2 linked regions of the Daphnia pulex genome follow. Each later gene encodes a partner of the first gene's protein in a complex. Links are inferred from orthologs where the notes say so. Each region holds a gene or a part of one and is shown in the gene's direction. Other genes may lie near its edges. The genes, in order: Bardet-Biedl syndrome 7 protein homolog and ADP-ribosylation factor-like protein 6.

Region 1 (4,291 bases):
CCAACGTTGCATCATCACATACTTGGAATATTACAAATGACGATACTTGGAAGCGATAAACTTGTGTGTGTAATTCCCAAATGGATTATCCTACTTGAAATATGGAATAAAGAAATCAATCAATAATAATCCGATTAGAAATGCATGACAGGAGGTTGTTTAGCTTGACGTTTTATTCCAATAACAAGAAAAATCAACCAAGAACAAAAGTTTCTCGTTGTCTCTGTCGTGAAGGCTCCCATCCGAACATCATTTGAAGCATTTCTGAGGAAAAGATCAACATGTGCGCGTATAACTGTATAACCCTTTGTCTCCTATATAAAATAACAGTAACTCTCCACTTGTCTGTTTTCTTTTCGCATCCCCTTCCGTTTATTTCGCGTTTCACTTTTCTCCATCGGTTCGAGTGAAAACTGAAATGGTACACGACTCTCAGTCGAAAGGGAGTCTCTTCCCCGAAGAGCTTTAGAAATATAAAATATGTAATAATAATAAAATCAACAACATGCCGGTGTTTTTGATCTTGTCCTCTCAATTCTCCTTCTATTTTAAATGGACCCGAGTCTCCCATATCCTAACAAAAAGACATGTGCAATGTTCGTTTTTTGTTTCTCTTGAATTTTTTCTTCCTCTTTTTCTTCCCTGTGTTGTGTCTGTGTAAAACAAAGATTGCCAGTGATGTGTAATCCAACGTTCTAAATTCTATACACAAAACCAACCAACCAAACCAAACCAAATGAAATGAAGATGATATATTACTGATGTACATGTGTAGGAAAGCCAATAGTACATATACTCTTGTCAAAGTGTGTGTTTTCTACGAGTGTGTGTGTGTGTGCTATCTACTTGTGTATAGTAAGACTACTCTTATGATTAGAATAAGGGTCGGAGGTGAGTTGTCAGAAGGAACAAGACAAAAGTACACGAGTGTTATTCATCCTGAGTCGGACGTGATTCAATTTCCTCTTTAAATGGTGCACTCGGGCGTGTAGCCACACGATGCTGATCCAAACCGAGATTAAATACGAAATGCTGTCGGATATTATTAGTCCTACTATGTGTGAGTGAGTAAACAGGATTTTTAATGAACTTTTTTTCTGTTTTTGAAAGGAGCGCGTGTTGCTGTCATGGCAACGGTGGTTTGTTTTGTTACCCGGTCTCTGTCGGGGGGTAACATCACATCATCCAGCCATTAGCGTGTAGCCACTGTAGCCTACTCTTAGTTTCTACACGAGTGATTCGTTTACATTCCAACAAATGCAACCTTCAGCTAAATTGAAATTACAGCGAGTCGACTATGTGCAAGTGGCTTCTTTGAAGTGCAGCAATTCTATTCAACTTCTATCAGCCAAAGGGGTCAAACATCAGCAAAAGGTAGGATGTATAGACTCGTGTACACGAGAGCACAGAGCAGACCTTCAATCTGCCATCAAACGTGAAGGCTCCTGATGTGTTTGACTAAAAGTCTTTAAATTTGCCTGCATGTACACTAGAGATAGACTTTTGGCATTTGTGAGAATTCCTTTGTTTTGTTTCACGTGATGCAGGTGGTTGTCGGGGATCAAAGAGGAATACTGCAACTCATATCCATCAAAAAGGGAGAACCTTTTGTAGACTTCAAAGTTGAACTAAAATCCCCAGTCAACTGTGTCACAGTTCATGTCAATAGCAACGGTAAGTCAACATTTGATTGTGTTCTGCACACAATTAACCTTTTAATATCATAGTTTTTTTTTTGTAACGGTTGCAGAACCTACAAAAGAAATGATTATTACAGCTACACAACAAACAGTGCAGGGCTTCTCAGCCAAGGGCAAACTAATTTTCAAAATGGACACAAACTTGGTAGAACCTATTCAACATTTGTAAGATATTCCAAACATTTTATAGCTTTTTCCTTGGTCAAAGTCTGTTTGTTGTTGTTGGACCATCTTTGTAAAGCAGCTTAATGAATAGCAGTTACACATGGTACACACACACATCTAGCTGTAATGTGAGATTCTTCCCCATAGCAGCTGATGTGTCTGTGTGTGTATACATAATAGTAACAAAAAAAGGGGCTCCTACTGTTTTCACAACGCACAGGTGGATGGCCAGCAAGGAGGAGTTGGTCGTCTCAAATTCATACGTCTATAATCATTATCAAGATGGGAAGGAGGCCAATTATTTCCTTTCCACTGATCGCATCAACGCTGTAGCGGTGCTTCCTCTTAACAAGGTATACACACCTTTATTATTGCCAGGTTTCTCGTCCTTCCTTATATAATATAGCTGGTCTTATATTGGATCGATGCGGGCCATCATTCCTATTAAAAACAGGTACCCAGTTTGACTCCGTTGCTGGGATGCCAAGATGGGAACATTTATTCCCTGAGGGACTCGTCTGTACGACACCGACTGCCTATTGACGCTGGTATTCCCACAGCCATTCAACTGTTTCAAAACGATGGAGGCACTAGCGGCGAGTGGGTGATTTACGGAACATCGTTGGGTCAAATTGGACTCGTCCGATGGAGTAGAGCTGGCCCGGCAGTACGGTGGGTTATACAACTCCCTTCACAAACGACCGTGACGTCGTTGGATTTTTACGACGTCAGCGACTCGGACGATGGTGGTCAACTGATAATCGGTAGGGAAGACGGCGTAGTTGAAGTGTACCAAGTACCACCCGAAGATGATGCAGTGCACAGCCCTACCTTAATCTTCTCACAAGTAAAATGCCATTTGACTTCTAAACATAACTTTTGATAGGCCCCGTGTGCTAACCTGATTATTTAGAATTGCAACGACAGTATTGCGGCAGTCCGAGGCGGAATTATCGGCGCAGATGGCTTCCCGGAAATATTAGTAGCTACTCAACGTGGTACGTACATATAAAACTCGACCCGGCGTGTCGTTTGCTCCTTTCTATTTCTTCCTTGTACTCAACAACTTATTGATTATGCTAACGAAGGCTGGATATTCGGTCTAACCAGCTGCGAATCAACAACACGGAGAAAACAACCAGACGAAGTGACAGCGGCCCGAGCCAGCAATGCCCACGGCTCCGAACGTCGAAAGCAGCTGCAATATCTCAAGTCAAATTACTGCACACACCCACTCGTTTCACTTTAGCGGCTCCCCAGTAGCCCTTGACGTTTTCTCTCTCTCTCTCTCTCTCTTTGATCACAGATCCGAAGTGGAGTTTCTAGAAAAGCAATTTACCGAGGCGAAGAATAACAAGTCTCCAGCGTTGCTGCCGGCCAGTTTGGAGAAGACCACGTCGGCGCAGGTCAACGTCAGGGCCAAAGTAAATGTTGATTCTCCTAGCCGTTTCTCTCCTTGAGTCTTCAAAAACCCGACGAAATAACTTATCCACTTAAATATCAGATGAACTTTGTGGGCCAGCAGAATGCCTATTACATTAGCGTCGAGAGTCATGTGTCAATCAACTTTATTCTGGTCCAATGTGACACCAACGTTCAACTCATGGACGTCGAACGCAATTTAGCTATTTTGAGCGTAGTCGACCACGAAAAGGTCTGCATTCTCGGAATAAGTCATTATTTGTCTAGGGAGATTTGATTCTCCGAAATGAGATGATGTTTTTCCCTTTTTTTTTTTTTAGAACGGGCCGTCTCGACTAACGGCAACTTTCCGATGCCAATCCAACACCACGCGACTGGAAATGAAACTCATTTGCGCCGAGAGGAATACCAGCGACCAGGTGCGGTTGTACGTTTCGCCCAGCATCCAGGAGCCACGCTTGGCTTTTTTAAAGTCATTTCGTCTGGGTTGCTTGTGTAACCACGTGCGATGCCATCCGCCGGAATCGTTCCAGTGGAGCGCATCGACGCCCCCCAGCAGTTTGACTTTGCGAGGTGGATTCTCTCAGGCGGATGCCCATAATTGGATCGTGTCCTGCTTACCTAACGTCCCGGAAAAAGTCCCGGCTGATGAGGAAATTCATTTTTATTTCCGTAACGATCAGTGGCAAAGCCAGCTAGACGTCCAGTACAGGTATATATAACTAAGTACTAATACTCTTGATGTACTGGAATGAAATCCGCTTTAACCGAATTGTGGTGAACTTTTTTGATTGGATCATTGAGGCGAGGCGAAATCGTCTTTCTCTCGGATAATGTAGTAGCTTTGTCGCACGTACGTGACTTCATTTCAAGAGAAGCCACAACGAAAAGCATTCAACTAACAATGAACGCCGAAGTGACCTGGGAAGCAACAGAAATCCTCTTGCATCACGTCCACCCTCAACTATTGGATCTGATTCACCGACGTCAGCGCAATGCGTTAG
Region 2 (3,840 bases), on another chromosome or scaffold:
CGGGGTTGTTAGCCCCCTCCCTTTTTTTCCCTTCCCTTCTCTTTTTTTTTTGGCTCTTCCCGCCACCCCGCCACCCTCTTGTCAACTTTTATCCGAGCCCCCCTCCTATACCACCCTCCCGGTTGGTTCAACAGCCGCCCGGTTGTTGCTTATGGATTCACCCGATTTTCTGTCGACCCACTTCAGAGCAGGCGGGCCCCCAACCCCCCCTTTTTATTTTTCCCTTGCCCTTTTTTCTGTTCTTTCTTTCTTTCTACTTTTTACCCTCGTTCGCTTCTTCCTTCCATTCCGGGGGTACAGCAACACAAAGGGGCCCCCCCTCTACCCCTCGGCCGCCCGATTCCCGTTTCCTCCTCCTCTTCTTCTTCTTCTTCCCCCCTCCTTTTGACCAGATATCGGATGGCTTCGCTTCACGAAAAGCATCCCCCCCCCTCTTATTCTACCCCCCTACCTCCTTGCGCTTTTTCTCCACTGACCTCTGGACGACTGACCGAAAAAAATAATGCGGCCAAATGTCGGCCATCTTGGATGCGAAAAAAGATAAAAATTCGATTTTTAAATTAGACGTTCAAAATTATTTGTCGTGAATAGTACCGACCAAATTGTTACCCTCATATTTACAAATTTGGTATCCCCTTACTTTTATTTAAGAAAATTTTCGTTCTGTCTGCCGACCGAGCAAACAAATATAAAAATCCTTGGGCCCCCCCTTTTAAGTTTTAGTTTTTTATTGTGGAAAATTTGACCGCCGCCCTCTGGCGACCGGGAGCCGGGGGTAAAGAAGAAAAAAAGGTTTTTTTTTTTACCCAGCCCCCCTCCCGCAGCCTAGTTCTTCCAACCGACATTTTCTCTGCCCCCCCATTTCTTTTTTTTTCCCAAAAAGTTCTCCTCCCAGAAAATAAAAAGGGGCTTTTAAATGGATGACAAGAGTTTTCTTCTTCTTCCATCTCCTATTTTTATTATTCTTTGACCATCACCAGATGCAAGAAACGGAATTGAAGAGGAAGAAGGTCATTCTAGGTCGTTCCCACCCACCGGAATGTTTTTTCCGAACCATCCCGAAAATGACCATCATGTTTTTCCATTGCGTCATTAAGGTCATCTTCTATGGAAAAACGTTTACGCGGAAATTGGGGGAATAAATTGGAAGCTTCCAAGGTTGTTGTTGAGTGGACTGCCGTTGTCATGACAACTTGTTACCGTTCATAACAAATCCCGCGGGTTTTGCTCTCAGACGGCCATTGAAAACCAAGTTCTACGATGAAATTTTGGGATAGTTTTTTAACGTGGTTGAAAATTAAAAAGAAAGAAGCTAATATTTTAATTGTAGGTTTAGATAATTCGGGAAAATCGACTGTTGTTCAATATTTCCAATCGGGAGGCAAACGAACGGAGGTGACTGTTCCCACCATCGGATTCAAAGTGGAAAAGTTTCAAAGTAAATTGTAAAACATTTTTCTATCTTTTAATATTGTAAGTTTAATTTGAAAATTTAATTAGATGCCGGGTTAACTTTAACGGCATTTGACATGTCTGGCCAATCAAAATACCGGTCGTTATGGGAACGTTATTACAGTGATTGTCACGGCGTCATTTTCGTGATCGACAGCAGTGACACCATGCGGATGGCTGTCGCTTCCAACGAACTTTTACTCATGATCCAGCATCCGGAGATGGTCAAAAACCGTTCAACTGGTGTACCTATTTTAATTCTAGCCAACAAGAGCGACTTGCATCTGGCCATCCCGATCGGTCAGGTAAAGAAAAAACGGTCATGGCGCCGGACATTTTGGAATTTTCTCCTCCTACTTTTTTTTTTTACTCCGTCACACAAAAGAGAAGGAAGACCCTCTGTTCATGGGGAAATTGTAGAAGATGGTTGACTCTCTCACGTGATAAGGTTTCCCTACCACCACCCCCATATATATTCCAGACAATTCAGAAGCATCTCGGGAAATATCCGCCATGTTGTTTTCGTGAAGCGAAAGAAAAACGTTGGGGAAACAACCCCCCCCCCCCTTTTTTTTCTTTGTGTGTGTGTGTGTTCCCGGAGGCTCTATTTCCACCGAATCTTTTGGTTGAGGGGAGGGAAATCGGCCGCTTGGCGGGATTGCACGTAGGCTCGTCTACCCACCATCTGCTGTTGTATTTCAATCTAAAAAAGAAAAGGGATATGTATGATGAAACGATCCCCCACCCCCCAAAACCCTCAGGCTGGCGTGATGTAACAAACGGTAACGGTATATAAAATACGTCATCGTGAATTGCTTTCAAAAAATATAAACCGGTATTTTTTTTAAAACAATCAACCGTATCGATGATTGCAGGGTTAAATAACCAACACCTGTTTGATTGTTGCCAACTTGTTGATCTGGATAAATAAGTACATTAACAAATGTAATGACCAAAGAAAAATTGTTATCTTGGATAACAAAAGAAAAAAGCACTCGGGAGTTTCATTGACCCTGCGCGTTGGCTAAACGTCAGCAGCCCCCCCTTTCCATCACCACCCTCTTGGGTGTATGGCGAAGATTTAACGAAGGTCAACTGCAAGGTCATTTTTTTAAAAACCCCAACCAAAAAATATTTTGTTCCCAATCAAAACAAAAAAACAGTTAATCGGCTTATTACTCAGGTAGTAAACGCCATGATATTTTAAGAATTATTTTATCAAATTTTTCAGATTCGTGCCGAGCTGGGATTGGACGAAATTGACACACACCCCATCCATCTTGAGGCTTCCAACGCTTTGACCGGTGTCGGCCTACACGCCGGACTTGAATGGCTCTCTGACCAAATTATTAAATTAAATTTTTGACTATAATTTTTCCAGCTCCAGAGTGTGTGTGTTGTATTTCTTTTATGGAATGAAAGAGAAAAATTACACACTCGAAAAAAAGAAAACGATAAATAAAATATGAAATTGATAGCAGCAGAGCAAAAAGGTGCACACTCACACATTGAAAATATTTTTTTCCTCGTGATTATTGAAAATGCCCAAAGTATAATTGAAAATAATGAGGAAGCTTGAAATGTTGTTTTCCTTCTCCCGAAATTGAATTTTTTGAATATTAATTATTTTAGAGCCAGTTAAGGGAATACGACTGGAGATATCACGAAACACAGCCAATGACGTGTAATAACAATAAGCTTTTTTGTTGTTGTTGTTTGCAAGTGTGTGTGTGTACCATATATGCCAGAAGTAAAAGGTGGGGGAGAGCAGAAAAATAAGAATCGGATAAATGGGGGGCATAATAATTCACACAATTATTTTTTGTTTGTTTGGGAGAACAAATATTCAGAGATAGCAAAATTAACCAAAAATTTCCATCTTCTGCACTTGGTTAAGACAAGAAAAAAATTTGACGTTTCCCCCTAATTGACTTTTTTTTATTTATCAAAGAGTTGAACGTCATATTCAATGGGGGAGTCACGAAAACGGAATATGCCTTTTTTTCTTTCTTTGTTATTTTAGTTAGCATTCCTGAATTGTAATCTGGTTAGTGTGTCTTTTGCTAAATTTCCTACTGTTCCTCGTCACCAAGATCGTGACGGACTTTGGAAAAGTCAAAATCTTCACCAGTACCACGACGGTAAACATCCAAAACGTCCAAGCAGGTCGTTTCAAAATGAGTGGTGGCGTCGTAAGACTTGGAGATGAAAACTTGCGAATCACGACCATCTTCTTTGGGAGTGTAAAAGTCAGTCACCGTCAAAAACCTGCATGACATGAAAAAATTTAATGAGCAAAAAGCAAGAAATTTTGACTTGAAAATAATCATTCATACTTTTGCTTGATGGGACCGAGAAGATCCAAAGCCGGTTTGATTTCAGCTTCTG

What was found.
Region 2: the proteins of Bardet-Biedl syndrome 7 protein homolog (region 1) and ADP-ribosylation factor-like protein 6 are in contact, whole or in part, in a cryo-EM structure (PDB 6VBV), measured with the Bos taurus proteins. The link is inferred for Daphnia pulex from reciprocal best matches to the Homo sapiens genes BBS7 and ARL6. Residues at the interface, in NP_001178275.2 of Bos taurus: Leu3, Ile249, Val250, Gly251, Asp300, Gly301, Tyr302, Asp303, Thr319, Glu320, Pro321, His323, Lys324, Glu325, Ser326, Gly327, Pro328; in NP_001069250.1 of Bos taurus: Met132, Asp133, Arg135, Thr139, Ser140, Val141, Ser144, Trp157, His158, Ile159, Cys160, Ala161, Asp163, Lys166.

The regions. Positions count from the first base shown.
Region 1 is NC_060022.1:2,276,547-2,280,837, reverse strand, and holds the start of Bardet-Biedl syndrome 7 protein homolog, read left to right. Parts: upstream 1-1,174; 5' UTR 1,175-1,257; coding exon 1,258-1,374; intron 1,375-1,547; coding exon 1,548-1,674; intron 1,675-1,750; coding exon 1,751-1,865; intron 1,866-2,085; coding exon 2,086-2,218; intron 2,219-2,319; coding exon 2,320-2,712; intron 2,713-2,778; coding exon 2,779-2,863; intron 2,864-2,953; coding exon 2,954-3,077; intron 3,078-3,171; coding exon 3,172-3,289; intron 3,290-3,369; coding exon 3,370-3,519; intron 3,520-3,607; coding exon 3,608-3,999; intron 4,000-4,091; coding exon 4,092-4,291.
Region 2 is NC_060026.1:4,129,844-4,133,683, forward strand, and holds ADP-ribosylation factor-like protein 6, read left to right. Parts: upstream 1-1,188; 5' UTR 1,189-1,260; coding exon 1,261-1,438; intron 1,439-1,500; coding exon 1,501-1,757; intron 1,758-2,683; coding exon 2,684-2,818; 3' UTR 2,819-3,025; downstream 3,026-3,840. Other genes in the region: rab GDP dissociation inhibitor beta-like, read right to left, coding at 3,525-3,720, 3,789-3,840. UniProt on the Homo sapiens protein: Involved in membrane protein trafficking at the base of the ciliary organelle. Mediates recruitment onto plasma membrane of the BBSome complex which would constitute a coat complex required for sorting of specific membrane proteins to the primary cilia.